4 linked regions of the Stegostoma tigrinum genome follow. The protein of the gene in region 2 interacts with the protein of the main gene of each other region in a pairwise test. Links are inferred from orthologs where the notes say so. Each region holds a gene or a part of one and is shown on either strand. Other genes may lie near its edges.

Region 1 (7,123 bases), on a different chromosome or scaffold from region 2:
GTCATTATAGCCTTGTTGGGACTGACATGTTTCATCTGTGGAGGTCAGCTTCAGGTGCACACAGGCGTAGACGTTTTAAAACAAAATATTGAGAGCACTTACATCCATCACCTTCCTGATTTTTTTCTGAAGCGATGTCAGAAAGCAAAGGCAGCACAGTGAGTCAGTGGTTAGCACTGCTGCCTCAGTACCAGGTTCAATTCCAACTTCTGGTGACTGTGTGTGGAGTAAGCATGTTCTCCCGTATCTGCGTGGACTTCCACCAGGTGCTCTGGTTTTCTCCCACAGTCTAAAGATGTGCAAGTTAGGTGGATTGGCCATGTTAAATTGCCCCATATTGACCAGGGATGTACAGGCTAGGTGCATTAGCTGTGGGACATGCAGAGTTACAGGAATACGGTGGGATGCTCTTCGGAGGGTCGGTGTGCATTTTTGGGCCGAATCGCCTATTTCCACACAATGGGGGTTATATGATTCTATAATCAAAATTAACTTGGACTTAACCCAAGAAGCAGAAACTACCAGAACAAACTGAAAGTCAGTGTGCCTTTTCATTAATAGACATACTAAATCAGATCACTCCAACAATAAGGAACAATCAACTATTTTATATTTCTCTTCATTAGCACCTCACTGAAGCTTTAAACCAAATAGTTTAGAAATATAAACAGAGTTTCGAAAGGGTAACATGAAGACTAATCTCTCAAATTTTAACTCAGCTGATGCATTCAAAGCAAAAATCAAATGAATCAAAGCAAAAGGATGTCCTTTTGAGGTAAACCAATGTTCACGTACACCTCCAAACCCTTTAAAAGTTATTAACCACCCAAAATGATTCCTACTTCATCTCAATTAAAAATCACACATCAATCTGCATAACAGATTTCAAATCAAGTACATTCAAGCCCAAATGGTCAATCATGAAAGCTGCAGTTATCACTTTCGTACATCCTTTTCTTGAAGTGACAAAAGGACTCTGACCAAAAAAGAAAATTGAGAAACATTATGCACTTCTTCATAATTAACAAATATAACCCATTGTTGTGAATCAGATCTAGGTGCTTTCAATAAGGTCCATCACAAAACCAATCTCAAGCACAAGAAAGGAAATAGCTTTTTATAAACTTAATCATGCCTTAAAATTCCTCTGCAAAATTGGTTTGCTTTTACACAAGTTTACATTTACATCTAATCCAGTTCTCACAGCAGTCACTATCAGGTCACCACAAACAAAAACAAACTCCTGCTTTAAAATTTCAATTATCTACATTAGTTGATTCACACAATATGTTTTCCTCCAATTTCAAATTATCTTCTACAAAAATGATTTAGAAGATGACATTACCTTTGCCCTTTCATGACCTCTTTGAAGATCATTTACCTTCAGCCAGCCACAATGAAGCTGAACAGACCCAACCTATACTGAGATTTACAGTTTAATTTGCAATTGCACTAAAAAGGAACTACATAAGTTTAAACAGACAAGATGAAAAAATTAAACTGTCCATAAATATTTTTTATGAACTACATACAATATCCACATTTCATAATATTTCACAACTCCAGAACAATTTAATAGAAGTTAAAACTAAAAAAACTACTCCAAAGCATCTGTGCATGTTTTTTCTAAAAGTAGTCGTGAAAAAGTTATGTTTCGAAGGGGAGGTTCAGATAAAACAGGAATTAAAAACTGTTTTGGAACACCTCATTTCAGTTATTCCTGTTTAAAAGGTGTTCTTATGTCAACATCAGTATACCACCATACGTTTACACCTCTGGTGTACAGTTGCTATAGTTGTACCAGACCACAGGATGTTAGTCTTTTAACCTCACACACCACACCTCCGAGAAGGGGAGAAGTTAAGGAGGGCAATCCTTCCTGGTAACCTTAGCCAATGTGGAAACTAAACCAATGCTACTGGCCTCACTCAGTATTAGCAAGATAGCCAACAGAGCTGACCAACCTCCAACTTCTGGCACACAATAATAGTCACAGAATATGACAAATAAACTCACTATACTTTACAACAAAGAGCAGCAAGAACAAAACAAACTAGAGAGTTTCTTTATCAACAATATGCCATTCATATAAAAAGTTAATCAACCTTAGCCAACATTGCTCAGTACAAACAAAAAGATCCAAAGCAACAGACCACCTTTTCACTGGCCAGAGTCCAGGGGGCCCGGGTAACAACAGGACTCACCCCTGCTACGGGCAGATGCCTGACCCTCAACTCTCACCCAAAGAAAATACTTCTGCATGACTTCGATATCCTCAGAACTAAAACGGTTTTAAAACTTTACCTGGAACCAAATCCGTGCCTGGTCATGAGTTCCTAATCTTACCACGCACAGCGTACGAGGTCCCATCCCGCCGCTGTTAGACACACCCAAAACAGGAGGTCCCAAATCACCTTCCCCAGGAGAGGAAGCTCCCACTCCCTCCCTCTCCAGCCAATGACAGGATGGTGGGAATAGGTTAAACAACAGCCTTCAACAGGGAGTTGGATAGGGATTAAAACAAAAAGGGGGAGGGGAGAAGAGCAGGGCTATAAAGAGCGTGTACGGGGTCAACGGGCTGAACGGCCACACTATTCAGTACATATAATTTTATATTTTTTTTTAAATGAGTTAGTTGTGTTGTGTGGAAAGTGGAACAACGTTATTAACACACCGGGTGAGGGGGTCCCTCTCTTTACCGGGATGGGGTCTGGGGTCTGGGGTCTGGGGTCTGGGGTCCGGGGTCCGGGGTCCGGGGTCCGGGCCCTGGGTGGGGTGACGCTCCTATCCCTGGGCAGCTCTCCAACTTCAGCCGCACACCCTCCCCTTCTCCCTCCGAGCACCTCGGGGGCCGATTCCGAAACCCCCACGCCAACCGTGTCCATCGATCCCCAGCCCCTCTCACCTCAGCTCACGGCCTCGATCGGTATCTCAGTCTCCAGGCACCTGGGCACTTGCCGTCAGCGAGCAGCGCCCGAATTGCGCCCCCACCCCCCCCGCAAAACTCCTGGGGCACAGACGCGAACAACCGAAGCCGCTCGCGCAGCGCTCCCGCGTGCCCCCACACCGCCTCGCGGGGACGCGCGTCCGCCGCTGAGCGCGCCAGCGCCACCTCCCGTCAGGACCCGCTCGTCTTCGCTTGCAGGGCTATCCTCAGGTGCTGGAGTTTTCTGCCCGGTTCCTCCTGCTCCTTGAGACGGTGGGTGGTGGAAGTTGAACCTCTGCAGTCCATGTGATGAAAGAGATCCCCAAACCCCTGCCTCTTAGGGTTTTGACCCTGCGCCAAGTATAGAACTGTACAGACCCTTTGGTCCACGATGCTGTCCCAAACTTTTATCCTAATCCTAAGGTCTATCTAACCTCCGCCGCTACCTTATACTATCATCCATATGCCTATCTCATAGCCGCTTAAATGCCGCTGAGGTCGACTCCACTACCCATTCCGGCAATGCATTCTACGCCCCAGATCTAGATCTAATAAGCGCCTTATGGCTTTGTATCTTTCCCGTTCTGCATTTTTCTAAGCCCTTCTAGTTTTATGCTAGCCCTTGTCTCTTTAATTGTCCATGGCTGTTTTCGCGAAGTGGAGCTCCTCCCTTTCAGGAATAAACTGGTTTTGTATTGTGTTAAATGTTTCTTTTAAATATCATCACTGCATTCAGTTCTTTTACCCATCAGTAGATTTTCTGTGAACAGATTACAGGTTTACTGTGCACAGTCTCTGTCTCGTTTTGTTTAAATTGGCCTTACCTAAATCTAAAGCTCCAGTAGCTGATTCATGCTTTTTGATTTCCCATACTATGTTGAATTCAATAATACCATGATCAATATTTTATTAATGTTCATACACAATTAGGTTACATATTAAATCCAACTCTTCACCCATTATGAAATCAAACATTGCTTGACCTCTTGATGCATCCAGAACATACTGCTGTAGGAAACTATGCCAGACACGCTTCTGAAATTCACTGATATAACAAGGTGTAGAACTGGATGAACACAGCGGGCCAAGCAGCATCAGAGGAGCAGGAAAGCTGATGTTTCTGGTCTGGACCCTTCTTCAGAATGTCCAGACCCAAACACCAGCTTCCCTGCTCCTCTGATGCTGCTTGGCCCACTGTGTTCATCCAGCTCTACACCTTGTTATCTCAAATTCTCCAGCATCGGCAGTTCCCACTATCTCAGAAATTCACTAACTTTCCGTCAGCTGCTTATCTGCCTCTATGCTAAAGTTAAAAAATCACCATCAACATTATTCTGGCTTTGCTAATACACTCACCTAATTTCTGTAATTATACAACCTAGCACTTTGAAACATTTCCAAAAATTAGTCCTAAGTGACTATGACAAAAGTATATTCTCCCTCCTTGTCCTTAATTACCTGCTTTCTTTGAGACAGTTGACACCCCACCACCCTCTTCGAACACGTGTCAACTGCTGTCTAGATTGGTGAGAATACACTTGGGTTCTTAATATAATCATGGCGCAGATTGTAATACTTCTCCCACTTCTACACCGTCACTTATGCTGCAGCAGGTATCTGTCCTCAGTCCCTCCGACTTATCATGTATACACTGCTGTTTGGCAAATTCATCCCAAAAGCACAGCATAATTTTTTTGCAAGCATGCTGAAGACAACCAATTGTAATTCATAACTAGCTCTCTGTTCCAAATGATTACAATGCTTATTCAATATCCAATTCTCGACGAACAGGACTTTTCCCCAAATGATTTTTGTGAAGATTGAAGTCATGCCAGTTTCATGCCGCACTCCAAGTTAGAGATGTTGCAAAATATTGGTATAACCTACCCACTGATCATGTCTTCTCCACTGGAGACAAAAAGTTTGCAATTCATTTGCCAAGCTCGGCGAAGAACCAACAGCCACACTCCAAGTCCCACTCATTTGTCCCTGATTGTACCCGTGTTCTTGGCAGATGTCTGAGACCAAGCCCAGCCTGCTTGTAATAGATAACACAGTGCAGAGATGGAGGAACACAGCAGGCAGCGTCAGAGGAGCAGGAAAGTTGATGTTTCTGGTCGCCACCCTTCAGAAAATAAATGCTGCCTGGCCTGCCTGTGTTCCTCCACCTCCACACTCTCTGACTCCAGCATCTGCAGTTCTTACTATCTTTCAGCCTACTTGTAGACTTGATATCACATTTGATTCCAATCTCATTTCATGCCTCATTAAAATCACTTGTTTCCACCTCCATAATATTGCCCAACTTCTCTTTGGTCTCAGCTTATCTGCTGCATTCGTGCATGCATTCTATCATTATCTCTCGGGTTCACTTTTCCGATGCGTAACTGGCTGACCTCCTACATTCAACCACCATAAACTTGAGGTCCCAAAAATTCTGCTTCCATTTCTTAACTTGTTAAGTTCTGTTCATCTATCAACGCTGTGCTCATTAATTTACATTGCCTCTGGATTACGTAATGTCTTAATTTTGAAATTTCAATGCTTGCGTTCAAATCCATTCATGGCCTCACCCCTCCTCATAACTATAATCTCCTCCACCCTCACACCTCCAGCAAATATCTACAATCATCCAATTCTAGCCATTAGGCCATCTCTGATATTGACCGCCACACCATTGGTGACTGTTCCTTCAGCTTTCTAAACTCTGAACTCTGGAATACCATCCCCACAACTTTCTGTTTCTCTGTCTCACTTTCTTCTTTTCAGATACTCCTTAAACCCTACCTCTTTGACTAAACATTTGGTCAACTGACCTCATGTCTTCTAATATGCATCTTATAAAGTTCCTGTGTAGCACTTTATGCCATTTTATTACATTAAAGTTGGATAAGTTGAAGTTGTAGTTTTGAATCCATGCTTCTGGTGATAACACCATTAAAGTCCAGTAGTTACTGAAGGGGAAATGACCAAGAATGCAACCCTGAAGTGGCCCAGAGATGTTCAAGTAGTCATTGAAGGATTGGGGAAATACGAGAGAGATCCAAAAACAGTGTTTTGTGAACCAATTGGCTGAGAATTTGATAGATGTGGGAATTTGGTGAAGAGTGGGACGGAGGCACTCTTTTTAATCTCACTGTTTTACCTCCAGTAGCTGGTGAAAATTCTTTTTGTTTTTCCCAGATAGTTGATTGCAAATTGCTGTTACTTCTTTTATTTATTTTATTTATCAACTAAACTAATTAAATCAAGATTTAAAAGATATGGCAGGGCTATTGGTATAAATAGACAGAAAATGTGGGAATACATTGGAATGACAATACAGTCTACTGTCTACAGCTTCAACCCAGATCTGCTGAGCTGATGTCTTTGATGAAGACGTTGTGGGACATCAACAAAAGGGAGATTCCTCAGCACTTAGTTCCGGTGGTAATGACATCCCCCAGGTGAGGTAGAACTTTGCAAATGATCAATGACCAGGCACAGGGGATTATGAATGTCAGTGAGGCAGTTATGCAAGCCAGCATGTAGTGATTCCTTTGAAGATTGCAACTAGTTAAATATACTTGCAGTCAATGTAGAGAAAACTAAGGACTATAGTGTCTATGACCAAACTGATCCAACAGCCTTTCTAAGCTGTGCAGCATCTAGAGGTTTCTCTGAGGCTAACCATCGTACAGAATGCCAATCATGTTGGGGAGGAGGGTAATGTTGTAATTAGAAAGTATGTGGTAGAGGACGGTACAGTGAGGGCATAGATATTATTCACCACAGCTATGACCAGGAGCACTGAAAGGTTGTGATACATGCCTTCTGTCAATGTTTGGGCACGTCCTTTCTCAGTGGATTCTTGGAACAATAACATCAGAAATACTAGGTATCTTGCTCTCTGAGACAGTTTGAGGAATTCAGATTCAAATTTAAATGCAGAACCTCAAAGGTAGTCATGACCTAGCAAACAACAACCTCATCTAGTGAATGAATAAAAAAGAATCACTGAGACTGAGAGTCTGTTACTAATAATTAGTAGTTAATAAGTAATAGAAGGTTAATTCATAAATCAATTAATTGTGTCTGTACAAAATATAGTCATGAGGAGTAAAATGAGAAGTAAATCATTTTCTGATTGTGCAAAGCATGTGCACTTCAATAGAATAATTAGTACCACAATCAGAAATAAATATTTTAGACCTGTTC
Region 2 (7,117 bases):
TTATGCTGAAAGGAGGATTTTTAAAATCTGCTTAGTTTGTTTGCACTTAATCTGTGAGGATCTTCTAAAGAGACAGAGTTAATCATATACTGCCACACATGACCTTGCCAATGTCTAAACTCATCACCCTTCTGGCGGTGTCACAGCAATTAGCATTTCTTTTAAAAAATCAACAGTGTTCTGTTCTTTCTAGGGGGAAATGCAATTGAAGGGAAATTCAATAGGTGTACATTAGTTCATTTCATGGGGATACATTTATTGAGGAGAGAAAAGTTAATACAGTATTGTGTTAAACTTTGTCTGGCTTTGGGTTGAAATACATTATATTATGGCTGCAGTGCACAGAAAATGCCAATCAAACATTAATGCTAATTAATAACATCACTGGTGCTAAACTAGTGGTACACTGATCATTTTTCCGTGAGATACATTCAATCACATCAAGCCGACAGGATGAAAGACCTTTATTGGAAGTAAGGCTCCTAATCTCAACTAATTTGGCCAACTTTACAATTTATTGAGGCAGTACAAAATTGGCATAATTCAACATTTACGGCACAAACTCACAATTTAATTCAGAGAGGCACAGATACAATTTGTCAAAACGGTAAAGTAGGAAATGCTCTTGTAGGCTCAACAATAATATAGATTGTGTCAGAATTTTTACCCAATATCCTATACAGTATAAATATCGCTGTCTGAAAGGATCCTAATAGCAATGACAGTGATGACAGTGGCAAACAGAACATAAACAGTAGGCCATTCAGCTCAAGTCTGTTCTGTTGTTCAAGCAGATAATTGTTGACCTGCACCATAATATCTACATTCTGCTACACTGAGTATTCTTGCCCATCAAAAATCTAGTAATTTCAGTTCTAACATTTTCAAATGACCTAACCTCAAAAAACCTTTTTGCTGAGCAGGGAAAATAGCTTCAGATTGTTATTATCTTGTGTGTGAAAAAAATATTTCCTTACATTATTCCTGAACAGCCTAGATAGCCCCTAGGTTTAATGTCCCCATGTTATTTTGCCTCCCTCACAAGAGAAAAGAATCCTCTTTCTGTTTTATCAAATCGTTTAGACATTGTTAACATTTCAAATAGATTACTGTTTAATATTCTATCATCGGATGAATACACGATTAATCTATACAAGCTGCCCTCATAATTTAACCTTGGTTTTACAAGGCAGAAGGAAATGGATGGGGATGTATATAAAAGTAATTTGTATTTGCTTGAGTTATTTTTCACACACTAAATGAACCAGCAAATTTTTAATGGATTTTAACACTAAATGCTCAAGTAAAATTATGAACAATTGCAAACAATCACAATATCAAGTTCATTTCCATTGCAACCTAGCTTCTGCCTTTACAACTTTGTCTTAATGCAATGAGCAATTCACAAATGAGTGGTTCACTGTTATGGGCCAACTCACAAAGTCACCACCTTATCCTTATATTTCCTTGGAAATGGCACTCCCTTAAATGCAGAACAAAAGATTGCTGTACTATCAGATCATTAAGGAACTTTTATAATAAAACAAAACAGAAATTGCTGGAAAAAAACCCCTCAGTAGAACCAGCAGAATCTGTGGAGATACAAAACTGACATTTCACCAACTTCAACAGTGACTGGCTGCCCTGCCAAGCATTTCTAGTATCTTCTGTATTTATTTTGTATTTTTAGCACCAATGCTATTTTAATTTAGTAGAAAGAGTTCGTTCCTTTAACTATTTAAATTAGACAATTTAAACTTTTAAACCAACTAGTTGACAAATATCCTGAAGATGCCACTCAGCAGTCAGCTACATTATCAGGACTTAAAACAAAACTCAGTAGAACACAATAAATTATTTGTTCCTGAAGCAGTCTGCTCACAACTTCCTTGTGTATAACTTCCATAGTCAACTACAAGTGCAAGAAATATTCATCATGTTGATGAGACATCAATGGACATTTGGGTTACATTTAGCAGAACACAGCATCACAGAGCTGCTACGGCAGATGTTACATGTCTAATTCCACAGGGCATTCAACACTTCAGCTAACTTTTTTAAAATGTACAGATTGCTTCACTGAGTGCAACTTCGCCCCCTTTGTAGAACGCTACAAGCTTGTGAAATGTGAATCAAGTTCATGCTATTGTGCATAGTTACAAATAAAGACAAAACAATTGACACATTTTGCTACAGCTAACAAAAAAAGGATCATTGCATTTTCGTACGTTGGCATCGCACACCCTTTACTTGCAATAATCCATGGTTGAACCTTGAGATCCTGAACCAATCGGACCTTTTTATTTGAGCTGTGCTTTAAGTGATAGTGCACGCAATTATGCAATCATAAATGTGTATAAACTGACATAAAAAGGCGAAGAAGGAAATGCCTGCGATCAGTAATGGGTAAGAATCTGTGCTTGTTTAGGGAAACTCAAACTTTATGACCCTCTCTTGGCAAAACAAACATCCCGTAACTCAACTCGTTGCTTACAGAGTTTCTTACAGGTTAAAGTCCCTGAGCAAAAGGAACGAAGCACGAGAGAGGCACTCAGTACCAACTGATCAGATTGCCCGAACACTCTAACACACTCGCCCCAGCTCTCCGGATGGATGAGAAAAGGAGATGACAGCAAAGTGACTTTAAGTCCCCGGAACACTTCAGTTCCCAGCAGCAAACATTCCCGCACTCGGCAATCTCGCTCCTCCCCACCTACTGCCCTTGCCTCCGGACCCTTTGCTCTGATAAGTTCACTCCAGGAGGTGTTTAGGAAGCGGAGGGGCAGGGGCAGCAAGACTCCGCTTTCAAGGTTTCTCTCTCTGTCCCTGTGGTTCTTACCTTCCCTGGACAGGGACTCGCTGCCCAAACTTAAAAGGATTAGGAGGTGGACGCAGCCCGGCAGCAGGGAACAGAACATGGTTCAGCGGCTTCCCTCTGGGCGATCTCCCGTGTTGAGCACACAACAGGGTAGGCAGCAGTTAGCGCTGAGTTTAGCTAGCCCAGCCCCTCTGTCTGTGTGTCTGCCCCTCCCTCCCTCTCTCTGCCTGTGTCAGCCTGAAGCTAGCACTCAGCCTGACGTCAATTCACTGGGAGGAGAGAGAGAATCCAGGTGAGACTGACACTCACAGGGTCCTACACTTCCCCTGGGCACACAGAGCACCCTCCCTGGCCACATCGAGCACCCTCCTCTGGTATTGCTTCCCACTCACATCTCCTCCCAGCGGTTGCTCATCACTGGATGGCTCTGTGAACCAGAAGTAGCAGCCAGTCCTCAGACTTTCCCTGTTAACCCTTCAGGGCAGGGCGAGACCTCTGAGAAGCAGCGAGCAGGGTAAATACAAGTCATGCTTGAAGGTGATGGAATGGTCCGAACGCGACCGTCATTGCTGAAAGTGGAACTGGAGTTCAGCAGTTTCACTTTTTGGATAGTTTTTTTTCTCGCTTCGCAGCCACACAGATCTCACTTGTCTCATTTTTCTTAAAATTAAGGACAAGGAGAAACGCTTTTGGCAATGTGTACGTGAATACACCTGCGAAAAAAAAAATTCAAGGCATCTTGCAAATATAAGTTCTTTGCAGAGACTATTATCCTTCCAAATGGTATCAATGACACTAACTTATAGGTGGGAAGGTAGAATTTAAACATATTTAAGGTATCCTCCATGAGTATGTTAAAAAGACTTTTCAGCACCATTAATGACCTCTATTATTCAGAGAAGGGTGTGTGGAGGAAGGAAACATACTCTAGTGCCATTGGCACCAGCAGGTCCTAAAGTTCATAAATAATGTAAGCAATTTTAGTGTAAGGCTTCCCTTAAGAGGTAAAAAGAAACTCGAGAGAGGAGCAACGCATACAGACTGAAGTCTACACTGTGAAATGTTAAATACTCATTACACCTTTTCAGCTTTCAAACATTATATGTTTAAATGAATGATTTACAGAAATGATTGTGTATATTTCGAAAGTGAACTATTACGAAGTAGCATTGGAATCCCTGCAATGTGTATGAGGATACAAGATGCCCTTTCTTAAACTGCTGGACAAACAAACAAATTATTCAGGAATAACAAAATTCCAGCCCTCAGCACAGTCAGTAGGAGGCTACACCTATTCTTATATCTAACAGCATCAAATAATCGTTTCAGCTTGTTGTGAAGAGGCAATATCTGACTTAATATTAAAACACTGTAGAAATGCTGCTTCTTTTCTTTCTGCTTAAGTCCAATTGTGATCATTCCTGAAAAGGAACAACACTATACCAGTCACAGCTGCATTGAACACTTTTCAAAATTGCTCTTCTATCAGGTTCACATAAATTCTTATTTGCTCTGTGTTTGCACTTGAACTTATGTTACATTGAGAATCTACAACATTTTAAATTGCACTTTACAGACTATTGCTTTTAGATATAAACTTTCAAGTGTCTGAAAAGATTACATTTCCAGGATATAGTTTAAGCAAAATAGTACACAGTGTACAGTAGAAATGCCAGACTTCGCTTTTCAAAGAAACTAGTCCAGGAGATTTTATGTAATTTTTTTCAATATAGGAGGCAATGGTTCATGGCTGCTATGGCAGCAAATAATTGCAAACATTTTGCAAAATCAGTGCAAAAAAAAGGCTGAAGCTTTCGCAGCAATACTTAGCCAGAAGTGCCCAGTGGATGATCCATCTCGGCCTCCTTCAGTGATCCCTAGCATCACAGACACCAGTTGTCAGTAAATTCGATAGACTCCATGTGATTTCAAGAGGTGGCTAGGACACTGGATAGTACAAGGGGTAAGGGCCTTGACAACATTCCGGCAACAGTACAGAAGACTTCTGCTCCAGAACTTGCCACTCTCCTAGCCAAGCTGTTCCAGTACAGAGACAACACTGGCACCTACCCAACATTGTGGAAAATTGCCCAAGCATGTCCTGTACACAAAAAGCAGGACAAATCCAATCTGACCAATTACTGCTCCATCAGTCTACTCTCAATCATCAATAAAGTGATGGAAGGTGTCATCAACAGTGCTATCAGTACCTGCTAAGTGATGCCTGGCTGGGTTCCATCAGAACCACACAGCTCCTGACCTCATTGCAGCCTTGGTTCAAACATGGACAAAAGCGTTGAATTCCAGAGGTAAGGTGAGAATGGCAGCCGTTGACATCAAGATTACATTTGACTGAGCCGTAGCAAAACTGGAACAAATTATTATCGGGGGCAAACTCTCTGGTGGTTAAAGTCAGACCTGACAGATAGGATGATGCTTGTAGCTGTTGGAGTTCAGTCATCTCAGCTCCATGTGGTCTCTGTGAGAGCTCGTCAGTGTAGTGTCCTAGGCCCAACCCTCTTCTGCTGCTTCATCAACAACCGTTCCTCCACCATAAGGTCAGAAGTGGGGTTGTTCTCTGATGATTGCACAATGTTCAGCACCATTTGAAACTGCTCATGTCAAGTGGTTAGTAATGTTTATGTCACAGAAATGCCAGGCTATGACCATCACCAACAAGTGACAATTTAACCACTGCCCCTTGACATTCAATGGCATTACCATCACTGAATCCCCACTATCAACATACTGGGGGTTATCATTGACCAGAAACTCAATTGGACTCACCACATAAATACAATGGCTACAAGAGCAGGTCAGAGGCTAAGAATACTGCAGCATATCTTCTGACATCCCAAAGTCTGTCTACCATTGGCAAGGCACAAGTCAGGAGTGTGATGGAATACTCTCCACTTGCCTGGATGAGTGCAGCTCCAACAACACTCAAGAAGCTTCACAACATCCAAGACAAAGCGACCCACCTGATTGGCACTTCATGCACCCACTTCATTCACCACCAACCCTTATTTGCAGCAATGTGTACAATCTATAAGATGCACTGCAGAAATTCACCAAAGATCCTCAGACAGCACCATGCAAAATCACTGATAATGGGAACTGCAGATGCTGGAGAATCCAAGATAACAAAGTGTGAAGCTGGATGAACACAGCAGGCCAAGCAGCATCTCAGGAGCACAAAAGCTGATGTTTCGGGCCTAGACCCTTTCTCTGATGAAGGGTCTAGGCCCGAACCATCAGCTTTTGTGCTCCTGAGATGCTGCTTGGCCTGCTGTGTTCATCCAGCTTCACACTTTGTTATCCTACAATCCAAAATTACAACCACTTCCATCTGGAAGGACAAGGGCATAAGATATTCGGGAACGCCACCACCTTCAAGTTCCCCTCCGAGCAATATATTGCTGTTCCTTCACTGTCATTGGGTCAAAATCCTGGAATTTCCTCCCTAATGGCATTGTGGGTCGGGCCACAGTAGGTGGATGGCAGCGTTTCAAGAAGGCAGCTCACTATCACCTGCTCAAGGGCATCTAGGGACGGGCAACACCCACATCCTATTAATCAATAAATTAAAAAAAGGTAATGACATTGAAGGATATATTAAATAGTTTAGTATCATTGCAAGAAGGCTTTAGTATAAATTCAATTGTTAATACATGAAGCTATGAAAATAATACTCATTTATGCCTTTACTATCATGATGGAAAGCTGACATGATAGTGTGCTCAGATTATCCAGGTCTCTAAAGTAAATCAATCTAGACTGCAGAAGACTTTTGCTAAGGCATACATAATCTGAATATACAAAGAGGAAAATAGACAGCAAAACAGCTCAGAGATTAGTAATATTAAACTTTATTAAGTCCTCCAAAAGTGAACCAACATATAACAACAGCTTATATTTGTATATTGCTCCAAGGCCCTTCACCATGCCACCTTAAAAGAAAATGTCATATCACGTCTCATGAAGAGATATAGATGTCCAAGAGCATGGTCAGGGAAGAAGGCTTTAAGGAGTATCATAAAGGAGGAAGGAAAATTCTACAGACAGCAGGGTTTAAAGAGAGAATTACAGAATTTGGTACCACAGACAGCAAAGGCACAGGGAAGTAACTAAAATTTTCAAGATGCTGGAATTAGAGGAACACATGTATCTTGAAAGGTTGTAATGCTGGAGATAAATTAACTTTTAGGTCAAAGTGTGCCTTAGCTGGATTTAGTGTAGCTCAGTGTGGACAGAAGTGATGAGTGAATGAGATCTGACATGGGCTAGGACACAGGAAGT
Region 3 (7,615 bases), on a different chromosome or scaffold from region 2:
AATAAATTATACTGAAGGACCTTGAACATGAATAAGGCGATGCAGGCTAGCCTGGCAACTTATACACAATCATATGGCATGAAAACAGACCCTTCAATCCAACTAGTTCATGCTGATCGTGATCCCAACCAAACTATTCCCACCTGCCTGTGCTTGGCCCATATCCTTCTGAACATTTCTTATTCATGAACTTATCCAAATGTCTTAAACATTGTAACTGCACCTGCCACTCCCCTAAGAAGTTCATCCCACACACAAACCACACTGTATAAAAAGGTTGCTCCCATATCCTTTTGAGAATCTTTCTTCGTTCACCTTAAAAATAGGCCCCCCAGTCTTGAAACCCCCCACACTGGCGAAAGACTCTTGTCATTCACCTTATTTATACCCCCCAATTTTACAAACCTCTGTAAGATCATCTCTCAACCTCTTACACTCCTGTGAAAGAGGTCCGAGCCTATCCTTATATCCTGTTCTACATTACCCAAGATCCTACCATGAATGGTCCAAGTCCTGCCCTTGCTTATTTTATCAAAAGGCAAAAACCTTGCATTTACCCAAATTAAGTTCCATCTGTTACTCCTCAGCCCATTGCCACAATTGATCAAGATCTCTTCGTAATCTCAAGTAACCTTCCGCACTGTCCACTATAACCACCAATTTCAGTATTGTCTGCAAACTTATTAACTGGGCCTTCCATATTCTCATCTAAATCATTTATATGTAATGAACAAAAGCAGACCCAGAACCATCCTTGTGGAACCACCAGTAACAGGCCTCCAGTCCGAAAAACAACCCCCCCACTGCCACTCTGTCTCCCGTTGTCAAGCCCATCTTGAATCCTATGTGATCTAACTTTACTAAGTAGTCTACCATGTGGAACCTCGTCATAGGTTTTACTAAAGTCCAAATAAATAATGGTCTACTGCATTACCCTCAATCTGCTTGGTTACTTCCTCACAAAGCTCAATCACGTTTCAGAGACATGGTGTCCCGCACACAAATCCATGCTGACTATCTGTAATTCTTCCTGGCCTCTCTGAATGCATGTAAATCCTATCTTTTACAATCATCTCAGACAACTTACCCACCAATGTCAGACTCACGGGTTTATAGTTCCCAGGCTTCTCCTAACACCAAGGCATAACATTAGGCACCTCACTGGTAGTTACGGATGGTACAAATTTTTCCTCCCTAACTTTCCACAAGGTCCTTAGTTACACTAGATCAGGTCCTGGAGATTTATCTTCTGCTATATTTTCTAAAGACCTCCAGAGCTTCCTCTTCTGTAATGTGAGCTGCCTTCAAAACATCAATATTTATTTCCCCGAGTTCTCTCACCTCTATTTCTTTCTCCACAATAAAAACTGACAGAAGAATTTTAAATGGATATTTTCTATCTGCTGAGGCTCAATACAAAGACAACATATTTGATCCTTAAGGGGCCCTACATGCACTTTCTCCCTCTCTCTCTCCAGTTGCTCTCTTGCTCTTAATGTACTGATGGAATTTCTTTAGATTATCCTTAACATTACCTGCCAAGGCTCTCATTCCCTCTTTGCCTTCCTGAGCTCCCTCTTAAGAATGCCCCTACACTCTTTATGCTGTGCAAGAGATTCATTTGAATCCAGTTGTCCATATCTCATGATTCTTTATTCTTGACTAGAATCTTAATATCTTCATTCATTCATTGTTCTCTAATCCTACCAGCCTTACCCTATAATCAGAGGAACATAATGACTCCAAACTCCCGTTATCACATTTTTGAAAGCCTCCCACTTATCACATGTCCTTTTACCCATGAGCAGTCTACTTCAATCAACTTCTGAAAATTTGTGTCTCATATCATTAAAAATAAAGTTTTAATTGGAAAAAGGTTAACTTTCATAGAGGGCCTATCCTTTTCTAGAACTATTTTCAGTCCAATAGAATTATGATCACTTGTCCTAAAGTGTTCCCCTACTAACACTTCAGTCACTTGCCCTGTATTACTACTCAAGGAGGTCACATTTTGCTCCTTCTCTAGTCAGAACATTTATGTATCAATAAAAAAAATTCCTGAACACATTTAACAAATTATTCACATTCAAATCTTTAACACTCCCAGTCAGAGTTTGGAAAATTAAAATCACATATTAGAACCCTATTATTATGTAAACTGGAGAGTTCTCTACATATTTCTTCAACATCCCCCAACTACTTTGGGAGGGGGGGTAGTTTCATACAATCCCATCAACATGATCATTCCTTCCTTGTTTCTAATTTCTATCCATATGTTTTCACTGGACAATATTTCAGAAATATCTGCTCTAATTACTGCAATAACATTCTTCCTAACCAAAAACACCACTCCCCCCTCCTCGCCTGTCTCCCTTCTTCCCACAGCACCTGAAACCCAGAACACTGAGCTGCCAGCCCCGTCCTTCCCTCAGCCAAGTTTCTGTAATCACTATGACATTCCAATTCATGTTCCTCAACATGACAACAGCTTATCTGCCCTACAAGTAAGAACACTTGCATCGGAATAAATACAGTTCACTTCTTCAGAATTATCGTGTTCTCAGACTTGCTCTTGTTCTTCTAACTAACTTGTTCTTGCAAGGCTCGCATCCATCTTTCTATTAACGCTGTGACTTAGGATCTCTCATAGTCTCAACGAAGACGTTGGTCCCTTTCCAGTTCAGATGAAACCCATCCTTTTTGAACAGGTCTTTTCTGTCCCAAAAGAGATCCTAATGATCCAAGAAACTGAATTCCCAAACATTATAACATCTCTTTTGCAATTGATTTATCTCTTATATTCATTCCCTTATTCCAGCTGGACACCAACAGTAAACCAGAGATTACTACTTTTGAGGGTTTATTTTCTACCTAACCTCACGTTCACGTTGTAATGGAGCTCCACCCCAGTACAGCCAGTGCAATAATAAATCACAGGACCCATATATCGTCCTGCTAACGTCCTTAGTTTAGGACAGGGTTGTAGTGCACTTTTTTTCAGTGCTTTCTCAAGCGTTTATTTTGCGTTCCTTCCTCTCTCTTACCTTCGCCTGATCCATTACCAGTTCGATCAGCTCACCACGCGCCTTCTCGAACTTACCAGAACTCACGCCGGAAATCCCCGCCCTCACCTCCTACACGCTCCCATTGGCCGCAGCCCCCAACTGTCTCCCTCTCGATTGGTCCAATCGTCAGTCCATCTACGGGTTGCATCCAGCCCCCACAGTCCTCATTGGCCCAAATCTTCAGGTTCTTTCATTCTGATTAGTCTGCCTGGCAGTCCATCATCGGACGCAATCCCGCCCCCTCCTTTCACGCTCTTCTTATTAGTTAGGGTCTTCAAGTTCTTTTCTCTTCCGATTAGTCTAATTGCCCGTCTGTCTCCCGGAGGCCGAGCCACGTCCAAGGACGTTCCCTATGTTCTCATTCAATTGGCTCATTCAACAATCCATCAAAGGAAGCCTGCCCGCCTCTAACGCTTCGCACCCCGTTGGTCCAGCTTTCCGAGATATCGCTTTCCGATTGGCTGTCCTACCGTCAATTACAAAATGTTCCCCACTCATGCCGGTCGTACCGCCTGTTAAATGGTCAGGGTTGGGTAATGGCACTGTCAATCAGGACGGCATGGCCAATTGGTAGAACAGCTACGCCCTAGGCCCACCCACTCATGCCAATGGGCTGACCAGTTTTTAAAACGGCCAGAAGAACATTCTAGAGCACAGCAGTTGGAGGCAGTTCACTTTGAGGGTCTTTACAAACAATTTACCTCCAAGATTCAAATAGAATGTATTCTGCGAATATTGGGATGATGAGAAGCGTATGAGGTGGAACAGGCACTTGTGCGTTGCAAAATACCTATAATATTTAAATCAAAATGTTTGTATGGTATTTATATTGAAGAACAAAAATGGGAATAAATAACAGCAACATCCCACATACCTCCTAACTAATTTCTAAATCTGTCTCTGACAGCATATGCAAATTTTAAAATGTACATAGCTGATCAGAACTTTGACAGATTCACTGAGTTCCTACAGAGTGAAAGCAGGTCGTTCAGCCCATTGAGTCCACCCAGACCCAGCCGCTTCCCCTATCCCTGTAAACATGCGTTCCCCATGGCTAATCCACCTAGCTTGCAAATGGCTGGATACTTTAGTATGGCCAATCCACCAAACCTACACTACTTTGGACTGTGGGAAGAAACTGGAGTACACCTACACCAACATGGGGATTTTATGAAAACTCCACACAGACAGTTGCCCGAGGCTGGAACATGGAACATGGCATTGGGAGGCAGCAGTGCCAACCACTGAGGCCACCATGCCACTCAATTTGATTTGAAAACAATGGAATATGCAATACAAATCAACTTGTCTCTGCAGGTCATATCCAACTAATATGGTTGTACCATCGTAATATTCACACACGTATTCCACGTTGGATCTTAGGATCCCCGGCAGTTGAAGGCAAGGTTGAAAATGGTAGTATGTTGGGAACAGGGGGTGCTCAAGAGGATGGAATCGGAGAGAAGAATGAGAGAAGGGTGTCGGGGCTGGAGGAGATTATTAAATCTGCATCAAATCCACTGTTAGTTTCAATGAAGGGTCACTGGACCCGAATTGTTTAAATTTGCTTTCTCTCCACAGATGCTGCCAGATCTGCTGAATTTGTTCTGCAATTTCTGTTCTTGTTTCAGAATTTTGATCCTGTTGGGTTTAATTAAGCTCAAGCTCATTGTTCACCACGTATTAACATACCTTCCATTGTCTTTAAATCCTTCCTAAATCATATTTATGTGTCATTTTATTTTGAAACCATCTAGGTAATTCACTTCAACATGTTCTGTAGGAGTTCCACATGCTGACCACTCTGAGTATAGAAGTTTTCCTGATTTCCCATTTGGATTCCTTCACAGTTTTGAATTGTCTGACAAGTGTGGATATTTCATCCACTGCCTATTATTTGCTTCTCTTTTCTTCCTACCTAAATTTTAAAATTTTATCCCTAGAGTTTGAAACCCTGAAAATAATTCCTGTTTATTGACCAACTAACTCTTTAGGTGGTTCATGATAAAGTTCTTAAATCATCTTCTCGGCTCCTGTGAATCACCTGAAGGAATGTTTTACAATATTTAGTGATGCTCAACGAATGTAAAATTGTGATGCAACAGGTTCAAGTGGACTTTCATCTGAAAATGAAGAATGTGTAGGGTTATGGGAAGAACGCAGATGAATTACTGTAAGTAAGTTGTTCTTTTGGTATGCCAGCGCAGAAATGATGTGGCAAAATAATGTAACCATTCTGTGATACAGAAATAAGTGGAAGACAAGTTGTGAGAGGGATACCAACAGTTTACAGGGAAACATTGATAGGTTAGGTAAATGGGCAAAAACAGACAAATTAAGTATAATGTGGGAAAACACGAAGTTGTTTGTTTTGGAAGGCAGAACAAAAGAACAGTATTATTTAAAAGAGAAAAACTGCATAAACACAAATGGACTTGGGGTAACTCAGTGTGAAGCTGGAGGAGCACAGCAGGCCTAGCAGCATCAGAGGAGCAGGAAAGTTGACATTTCAGGCCAGGACCCTTCAAAAATGAGGGGCAGGGGAAGACAGCTCTGAAATAAACAGAGAGGAGGGGTAGGGCTGGGGAAGGTAGGTGGGATGGTGATAGGTGAATGCAGGTAGGCAGTGTTGGGGATTGGTCAGTGAGGTGGGAGGAGTGCATTGGTGGAGAGAACATGGACAAGTTGTGTCAGGTCAAGAAGGCAGGAATGAGAGAGGAGGTTGGTCATGAGTGTGGAAAGATTTTGAAATTGGTAAAGTCCATACTGAGAGCATTGGATTATAGGAATATGAGGTGCTGCTCCTCCAGTTTCTGGGCGGTGTCATTGTGACACTGGTGAAGGCCCAGGATGGACATGTCACCCAGGGATTGGGAGTGAGAGGGGGATTTGAAATGGTTCGTGACTGGAAGGTATTGTCTTTTGTTGCGAACAGAGCACAGGTGCTCTACAAAGCATCTATGAGCCTCCACTGGGTCTCACCGATGTAGAGGAGGCCATGCCTTCCAGTCACAAACCATTTCAACTTCCCCACCCACTCCGTGGGTGATATATCCATCCTGGGCCTCCTCAAGTATCACAATGACGTCTCAATTTTGAAAGACATGTCCTGATCTGAAATGCCAACTTTTCTGCTCCTCTGATGCTGCTTGGCCTGCTGCTCCTCCATCATCAGCAGTTCTTGCTATCTCTGAGGGACTTAAGGGACTTGTACATGAAACACAGAAAGCTAGCACACAGATGCAGCAGGTAATCAAGAAGACTAATGGAAGGTTGTCCCTTATTTCAAGGCGATTGGAGTATAAAAGTAGGGAAGTCTCACTGTAAGCGTATATGTTGCTAGGTAATCACATCTAGACTGCTGTGGGTAGTCTGGACCCTTATTTAAACTGGGACAGTTTGGAGAAGGTTCATTAAGGATGATCCCTGGTATGGAGGGATTGTCTTATGAGCAAAGCTAAATAAGTTGGGACTCTACTCACTGGAGTTTAGAAGAATGGGAGGTGATCTCATTGAAACGTATAGGATCCTTCAGGGGCTTGACAGTGTAAGTGTGGAGAGGATGATTCCCCTCAGGGAAGCGTCTAGGTCTAGAGGGCATACTTTCAGAATAACAGGCTGTCAAGCCTTCTTTTGCCACAGGTAGCTGTGAAGGGTATCAGAGATAATGGGAACTGCAGATGCTGGAGAATCCAAGATAATAAAATGTGAGGCTGGATGAACACAGCAGGCCAAGCAGCATCTCAGGAGCGCAAAAGCTGACGTTTCGGGCCTAGACCCTTCATCAGAGAGGGGGATAGGGAGAGGGAACTGGAATAAATAGGGAGAGAGGGGGGAGGCGGACCTAAGATGGAGAGTAAAGAAGATAGGTGGAGAAGGTGTGGGTGGGGAGGTAGGGAGGGGATAGGTCAGTCCAGGGAAGACGGACAGGTCAAGGAGGTGGGATGAGGTTAGTAGGTAGATGGGGGTGCGGCTTGGGGTGGGAGGAAGGGATGGGTGAGAGGAAGAACCGGTTAGGGAGGCAGAGACAGGTTGGACTGGTTTTGGGATGCAGTGGGTGGAGGGGAAGAGCTGGGCTGGTTGTGTGGTGCAGTGAGGGGAGGGGACGAACTGGGCTACCAGGGAACTACAAATCCCAAAAGGCAATGCTCCTTGAGGCCGCTCGCCCAAATTCTGCTTTCCGATTGGTTCAGGCGGGCGCAGGCTACAAATTCCAGAGTGACGCACCAGGTAGAACTCACAGCCCACACTCCCACCGATTGGGATAACAAGCGGGAAACTACACCTCCCAGAGGGCGACGCACCCGACTTCCGCCCCCTCCGCTGCCTAGTTCGCTTGAGAGGTCACGTGTGCCGGAAAAGCTTGCTTCACCTGGAGTCCCCCTTCACAAAATTAAACGAACACCCCCCTCCAAAAAAATACAAAAATCATTGCAACGACCTCGACAGCGCCATCAGACATCGAGTACAGAGAAGCGATAAAGGTGCTCGGGCGGAAACGAAGGGATGGAGAAACTGTTCGCCGTGCTGAGGCGAGGTCGTTTTCCTTG
Region 4 (7,893 bases), on a different chromosome or scaffold from region 2:
GTGCCAGCAGCGAACACTGAGGGGGGCCCCATCTATGCCGTCACCATCGCTTCTAGTCGCTGGGAGGAACCATATCAGCTGCTGCAGCCACCTCAGACCATGCTCTTGCTGCTGCTGATGTGCTACTGCTTCTTCTGATCACTGAGGGGCCTGCGAGGCTGCTACCTGCTACCATTCCTCTCATAGTCCGTTGTCACTGATATGTCGAAGCGTCCGAATAACCCACTGCAAAAGGCTTGAAAGAAAAGAAATATGAGAAAAAGCAGAAAAGAAAAACAGCAAATGTAAAAAGAAAGAAAGCAAGCAGATGAAAGTGGGTGAACCCCAGGCTCGGGAGCTGACATGCAGCCCTGCTACTCTGCCGCTACGAATTATGAACTTGAGAATTGATCCTGTGACGCATGTTAGGCTAACTAACTTACAGTTTTCTGCTTTCTGCTGCCATCTTTTCTTCAAGAAAGGTATTAACATTTGCTATTTTCCAAACCACTACTGCCCTTCTAGAATCAAAGGAATTTTGGAAGAATACAACCAACACATATCCTCATTGTACTGCCACTTCTTTTGATACCCAAGGATGTGAGCCATCTAGTCCAAGGATTTAGGTGCCACTATTGCCAACAGTCTTTTTTAAGCACCTTTTCCCTGGTAATGATGATTGTTCTAAATTCAACCTTCTCTGTCATGTTTGATTTTCAATAATCTTTTGGGAATTGTCCGAGTCAACTTCCATGTAAAACCCAAAATAATCAGTTTAAAATCTCTGAGATAATGGGAACTGCAGATGCTGGAGAATCCAAGATAATAAAGTGTGAAGCTGGATGAACACAGCAGGCCAAGCAGCATCTCAGGAGCACAAAAGCTGACGTTTCGGGCCTAGACCCTTCATCAGAGAGGCTCTCTGATGAAGGGTCTAGGCCCGAAACGTCAGCTTTTGTGCTCCTGAGATGCTGCTTGGCCTGCTGTGTTCATCCAGCTTCACACTTTATTATCTTAGTTTAAAATCTCTGCCATTTCTTTATCTTCCAACATCAATTCTCCTGACTCCCTCTCTGGAGGACTAACTCTGGCTTTAGAGTCATCAAGTTGTACAGCACGGAAGCAGACCCTTTGGTCCAACTTGTCCATCCTAAATTAAACTAGTCTCTTTTGCCAGCATTTGGTCCATATCCCTCTGAACTCTTCCTTTTCATGTAGCAAACCACATGCCTTTAAAATGTTGTAATTGTAACAGCCTCCACCACTTCCCCTGGCAGCTCATTCCATACATGCACCATCCCTCTATGAAAAAGTTGCCCTTAAGGTCTCTTAAATCTTTCCCCTCTCACCTTAAATCTAAGCCCTCTAGTTTTGGACTCCAATATCCTGGGAAAACGATCTCAGCTATTTCCCCCTATCCATGCCCCTCATTATTTCATAACCTCATAAACCTCTGTAAGATTCCCCTCAGCCTTTGAGGCTCCAGGGAAAATAGCTCCATCCTCTCCCTACAGCTCAAACCCTCCAACTCTGGCAACATCTTTGTAAATTTCTTCCGCACCATTTCAAGTTTGACAACATCTCTCCTACTGCAGGGAGACCAGAACTGAATGTACTATTCCAAAAGTGGCCTACCAATGTCCTGTATAGCCGCAACATGACATCAGAACTCCTACACTCAATGCACTAACCAATGAAGGCAAATGTACTGAACACCTTCTTTACAATCCTGTCTACTTGAAACTCCACCTTCTAGAAAGACCAGTTCCTTGAGGAACTTGATATTGGTCTCAGCAGAAGTCGCAAGACAAAACATGTCTAACTAGTGCAAAAGTAAAACTTCTAAAACAGAATTGGAAATTGCTGGAAAAACTCAGGAGTTCTGGCAGCATCTGTGGAAAGAAAGCAGAGATAACGTTTCAGATCCAGAGACCTTTGACAGCCAGACCCGCTGAATTTTTCCAGCAATTTCAGCTTTTGTTTTTTTATTTCCAGCATCTGCAGTTCTTTGGCCTTTTTGTTTAATGTGAGAACTTCTAAAATCTTCCTTTTTCCTGAATGATGGAACATCCTACAAAACTATTCCGTATTTCGCTGAGGGTAATGTTTCAAGTTCCACAGTCATGTCTCCCAGAGCCCTTCACAATCTCATATGTGTCAATGCGATAAATGGAACATTGTCTTATCAAAGTCCTGCACAATCGTAGCAAGGCCTCCTTTATTTTTGTATTGCAATCGTGAACAACATGCTATATGCTTTTCTTTCCTAAATACTTGCTGTACCCTGCAAGCTGTGTTCCTTGGTCAACTATATGTTCCTCTGAACATCAATGTTTATAATGTGCATTTGTTTAAAAATGTTTTGATTTTTCCATTCTCAGGTCTAGAGTCAATAACCTCACAGAATTCTTCCAGCACAGGAAAAGTCTGGCTCTCCAAAGAGCAGGTAATGTCATTCTTTCCGTAACCTTGCACTTTGCGCTTTGAAAAAACACAATCGAGAATCCTTTTTAATGCATCGGTTTCTATCATACTCTCAGGCAATGCAATTAGCTCTGAACTACTTGCTATCTCTTAAAGCCATCTCAGATATCACTTTTGCTTCATCTACTAATTACTTCAAATCTGAGCCCTCTTGGTATCAATCCTTTAATAAGTGGGAAATGTTTCTCCTTATTTACACTGTCATGATCTTTCACAATTTTGACTGTTCTGAAGAAGGGTCAATGGACCTAAAACGTTAACTGCTTTCTCTCCACAGATGCTGCTAGACCTGCTGAGCTTTTCCATCAGTTTCTGTTTCTGTTTCCAGCATCTATAGTTCTTTTGGGTTTTATTTGCCAGTGACTTACCAAGTTAACTGGACTGGATGTAAGAGTAGAATACTGTATATAAGTATTGAAATAATTACATAATTTGACATCCTGAAACAAGAAGCTTGCTCATTGTAATAAGCAGAGCTAAGTCTTCATGAAGTCCAATCTCTGGGGCACCGCTGTATTTCAGCCTATATAATGCTGTTGAAACATGCTGTTTGGCAATGCAGTTGGCTCAGAACAGCTGTAAGCAGACGCTGAATAAAGATATAATAAAAAAAAATCACACCATGCATTCTCAAATGTGATAAACATAAAAGTTCACTTCAAACAGACTCAGAGACACAAGGGGTAAACTGAAAAAGACAACCATCATTGGAATACTAAGATAATAAAATGTGAGGCTGGATGAACACAGCAGGCCAAGCGGCATCTCAGGAGCACAAAAGCTGACGTTTCGGGCCTAGACCCTTCATCAGGTAGTGCTGGCACAGTGGCACTTTCACTGGATGAGTAAACCATAGGCTCCGACATAGGGGATATGGGTTCAAATCCCACCATGGCAGAAGATGAAAACAGAATTCAGCAAAAATCTCAAATTGAAAACTAGTCTCACGGCAATTGTGTAACCACTGTTGATTGCCATTAAAACAAAACTTCACATATTTTTTAACGATGAAATCGGTCATCCTTACCCTATCTGTAAACTATGCCCCTCCAAACTCTTAGCAATGTCGTTGACTCTAAAGTGCCAGATAGCAATGGTCCTATATCAATGCTGTTTCAAACTCTAATAGGCCACATGGCATTGACCCTAGCATAGGAAAGAACAGGAGCAAACTAGCTGGGGGCTTGAGTGAAAACTGGGAGAGCAGTCCCACTACAACAGTTATATACACAGGTTCAAATCTTAGATGACAATGGCCTGAACATCATCACTGGCGCTGGACACATCCAGACCAAATGGCTGGAAAATGCCAAGAGAAATGACAGAACAGTGATCCAGTCTCAGGCAGCAGTTGGCCTAGGAATCTTCAACATTAACTGTGAAGCCCATGAAGTTGCATGGCATCAGGTTAAAAAAAATGGGCAAGGTATCCAACTGCAACACCTCCTGCTGCCATCTAATGAATCATTTGATTAAATGACCATTTAATAAAATATTCTTCCACATTCAACACTGCAGATACAGAAAGCACTCTGGCTGAGGACTTCAAAGTTGATCACCAAGATCACGTCAGCAGCACCACGACTGTCCTGCAGGGCTGTCAGTCTTACTTTGGTGGTGGACAAACTGTTGAGAGGTTGGATAACACCTGTCACTTAGAAAGGCATGGACTGGTTGGGGATAGTCAGTGTAGCTTCATCCCTTACAAATTTGATTGATTTCTTTGGAGAAGTGGTAAAGAGGATTGACAATGGTACAGCAATGGTTGTCGTCTACATAGATTTTAGTAAGGTATTTGACAAGGTCCTAAATGGCAGACTGGTCAAGAATATAAAAGTCCATGGGATACAGGTTATTATGTCTAATAAATGGATCTAAAATTGGCTTAATAATAGGAAATAAAGGGGAATGGTCAATGGCTGCTCTTGGGAATGGAGAATTGCCTCAAGTGGTGTTCCACAGTGTGCAGTTTTGGACCCCTGCTGCTTGTTTTATACATTAACTTCTACTTGAATAAAATAGCAAATTTACTGTGCAGTGGTCAGCAAAGAGGTTAGCTGTAAGCTCCAAAACTATATAGATGGGTTGGTGCAATGGACACAAAAACAGCAAATGGAGTTCAATTCTGTTAAAAGTGATATAATTTATTTAAGGAGGTCAAACAGTAAAAGATAATACACAGTAATTGGGAATACAGTGAGTGGATAGATGACGTGAGAAAGTTTGACAAGTGCACAGATCCCTAAAGATAGCGGTACAGGTTGATAAGGTTGTCAAGGAAGTATATGGAATGTTCTGCTTCATTGGCAAAGGTACAGAACTCAAAAGTCAGGGTGTAATGATGAAACTATACAACACAATGGTGAGGTCACAAATGGAGTACCATGTGCAATTTTGGTCATCACATTTCAGTAAATACGTAACTGCTCTGGACAGAGTCAGAGACCATTTAATAAAATGTTACCTGGTGTGGCTAATTTTAAAAATGTTATTCATGGGTGGAGTGTTGATAGCTCAGCTATCATTGGTTGCCCATTTCTAATTGTCCTAGGGAAGGTCCTGATGGTGTTGAACTGCTTTTTTGAGTTGTTTCAGTTATTGGGGCTTAGGGATGGAAACATGAATGGGAGCTCCAGGATTTTGCCCCAGAGACAATGAAGGAATGACAATATACTGCCAAGTCAGAATGGTGTGTGACTTAGAGTTAATAGTATTCTTATATATCTGCAGCACTGGCCCTTCTAGATGGTAGAGGGTATGGGACTGATCGGTGTTGTCACAGAGCTACAGTGAGTTACTGTGGTGGATCATGCAAATCATGCATACTGCTGGTACTGTGTGTTGGTAATGAAGGGAGTGGATAGGGTGTCAGTCAAGTGGGCTGTTTTGTCCTGATGGAGTCTAGTTTCTCAAGTGTTGTTGGAGTGTACTTATCTAAACAAGTGAGCGTATTCCATCGTGTTCCATGTACACGGTGGACAGGCATTGAGGGGGCACAAGTTGAATTACTTGCTGCAAAACCTTGAGTATTTTAGCTGCTCTTGTAATCAGTATTTATGGAGCTGGTCCAGTTCATTTTCTGGCCAGTGGTAACTCAATGTTAATAGTAGGGGATTCAGCAATAGTAATGCCATATAGTGTCAAGGATTATGATTAAATTCTGTTTTGTTGTAAATAATCATAGCTTGGTGTTTGTGTGGCACAAATAGGACTTGTCACCTGTCTTCCCAAACCAGGATGTTTTCAATTCTTCCTGCAGACACTTCACCTGCTTCAGTACTGGAGGTGTCATGAGATGTTCTAGAGTGCAAGTCTTCATTGCTATTGCTGGCATGTTGTTAGGCTCCTCAGCTTAGAAAGATCCAATGCCTTCAGCCTTCTAATGGTATCATGTGGAGTGAATAGAATTAGCTAAAAGCTGACATTTATTAATGGCCACTCTGAATGGATCATTCACTCAGCGCATCTGGCTGAACAGCCTTGTCTTTAGTACTGATGTAATGGCTTCCACCTTGGTTGTGAATGGGGTTATTTGGGGAAATTTGTTTAATTGTTTGCCACCATTCATAAGTGACCAATTATACCATATTAATGCCCAGTTTTGAGTTGCTAGAGATAATAGGAACTGCAGATGCTGGAGAATCCAAGATAACAAAGGGTGAAGCTGGACGAACACAGCAGGCCAAACAGCATCTTAGGAGCACAAAAGCTGAGGTTTCGGGCCTAGGCCCTTCAGAGAGCTCTCTGATGAAGGGTCTAGGCCCGAAACGTCAGCTTTTGAGCTCCCAAGAAGCTGCTTGGCCTGCTGTGTTCATTCAGCTTCACCCTTTGTTATCTTGAGTTGCTAGATTTGTTCTAATTTTGCACAGTGGTAATGTCACACAAAGCACCAACAAGTTATCTTTAATATGAAGATGGGACTTCGCTTCCAGAAGGACTTAGAGAGAGCAACACTACCACACTCCCTCCACCCTCAAAGCTATTTCAGGAGAAAGACAACACTGGCACCTTGTCAACAAAATGGATAAATGCATAACTATATACTGTCCACAAAAAGCAGGCTAAATCCAACGTGACCAATTACTGCCCCAAGAGTCTTCTGCATCATCAGCAACATAATGGAAGTAGTTGTCGACAGTCTAAACAACTGCTTTTCTTTTATTCATTCAAGGGACGAGGGTATCGATGGCTTGGGGCATTTATTGCCCATCCCTAATTGCCCAGACAGCCGTTAAGAGTCAGCCACATTGTTATGGGTCTAGAGTCACATGTAGGCCAGACCATGCAAGGATGGCAGTTTCCTTCCCTAAAGGACAATGGTGAATCAGGTCGGTTCTTCCAACAATCAACAGTGAATTCATGTCATCATTAGATTCTTAATTTAATAAATATCTGAAATTCAAATTCCACCATCTGCCATGGTGGGATTTGAACCCAGATCATTATCCAGGTCTCAGGATAAACAGTCCAGCGATAATACCACTAGACCATCGCCTCCCCGATACTGAACCCTAGTTTGGGCCACTCAGGTCTTGTCCATTTTTGGGCCAAGACTACTAGAAGGTCTGAAATCACAGGGTGAGATGGGAGTGACTGCCATTGATAGCAAGGCTGTATTTGACAACAGTACAACATCAAGGGTTCCAAGCAAAACTGTTGCCAATGGTGTGATTAAAACTTTATAACTTTACATACATCACCACATTTTTAGAATTTGGATTCAAGATAGAAGCAGACGAATAAGAAGGATGTTCTTTCAAAAAAAAAGTTGAGTTCTTCCAGAACGTGTTTTATATCAACAGGTAGGTGTCCCAACAAGGGACAGTACAGTACTAGATCGAACTCTGGGAAATGAAGCATGTTTCTTGGTTGAGGTGACATTATGAGCACATTTTAGTAATAGTAACCAAAACATCGTGAGTTTTCAGTTTCTGGAAAAGGAGAACAATGATCTGCAAGATAGGCTTTTGGATTGGAGGCAGGCAGATTTCATTAAAATAAGGCAAGATGTGGGCAGAGAACAGAGAACATAGAACAGGAACAACCCTTTGGCCTACCATGTCTGTGCTAACCATGACGCTATTCTAAACTCACCCCAGCTGGCTGCACATGGCCCATGGCCCATATCCCTTCATTCACTGCCTGTCTGTCTAAATGCCTCTTAAATGTTGCTATCATAGCTGCTTCTACTACCTCTCTTGGTAGCAAGTTCCAGACACCTACCATCCTTTGTGTTTAAAAAAAAACTTTCCTCACACATCTCCTTTAAACTGAACCTCTCGCACCTTCAGCCTCTGCCCCCTAACATTTGACATTTCCACCCTCCAAAAACAAACTCCTAACCATTCACCCTATCAATGCTTTCATTCTTTTACTGACTTCAATTAGGGCATCTCTCAGCCTCTAATGCTATAGTGAAAACCATCAAGT

What was found.
Region 1: the proteins of egfra (region 2) and eps8a interact in binary tests that used the Homo sapiens proteins (3 or more experiments, as listed by UniProt). The link is inferred for Stegostoma tigrinum from reciprocal best matches to the Homo sapiens genes EGFR and EPS8.
Region 3: the proteins of egfra (region 2) and stip1 interact in binary tests that used the Homo sapiens proteins (3 or more experiments, as listed by UniProt). The link is inferred for Stegostoma tigrinum from reciprocal best matches to the Homo sapiens genes EGFR and STIP1.
Region 4: the proteins of egfra (region 2) and ptpra interact in binary tests that used the Homo sapiens proteins (3 or more experiments, as listed by UniProt). The link is inferred for Stegostoma tigrinum from reciprocal best matches to the Homo sapiens genes EGFR and PTPRA.

The regions. Positions count from the first base shown.
Region 1 is NC_081378.1:42,685,904-42,693,026, forward strand, and holds the start of eps8a (epidermal growth factor receptor kinase substrate 8a), read right to left. Parts: upstream 3,071-7,123; 5' UTR 2,906-3,070; intron 1-2,905. UniProt on the Homo sapiens protein: Signaling adapter that controls various cellular protrusions by regulating actin cytoskeleton dynamics and architecture. Depending on its association with other signal transducers, can regulate different processes.
Region 2 is NC_081355.1:101,250,698-101,257,814, reverse strand, and holds the start of egfra (epidermal growth factor receptor), read right to left. Parts: upstream 3,015-7,117; 5' UTR 2,919-3,014; coding exon 2,840-2,918; intron 1-2,839. UniProt on the Homo sapiens protein: Receptor tyrosine kinase binding ligands of the EGF family and activating several signaling cascades to convert extracellular cues into appropriate cellular responses.
Region 3 is NC_081395.1:4,430,338-4,437,952, forward strand, and holds the start of stip1 (stress-induced-phosphoprotein 1), read right to left. Parts: upstream 3,117-7,615; 5' UTR 3,060-3,116; coding exon 3,045-3,059; intron 1-3,044. Other genes in the region: ADP-ribose glycohydrolase MACROD1-like, read left to right, coding at 7,572-7,615. UniProt on the Homo sapiens protein: Acts as a co-chaperone for HSP90AA1. Mediates the association of the molecular chaperones HSPA8/HSC70 and HSP90.
Region 4 is NC_081354.1:170,237,267-170,245,159, forward strand, and holds the start of ptpra (receptor-type tyrosine-protein phosphatase alpha), read right to left. Parts: upstream 3,031-7,893; 5' UTR 2,926-3,030; coding exon 2,891-2,925; intron 236-2,890; exon of another isoform or gene 1-235. UniProt on the Homo sapiens protein: Tyrosine protein phosphatase which is involved in integrin-mediated focal adhesion formation.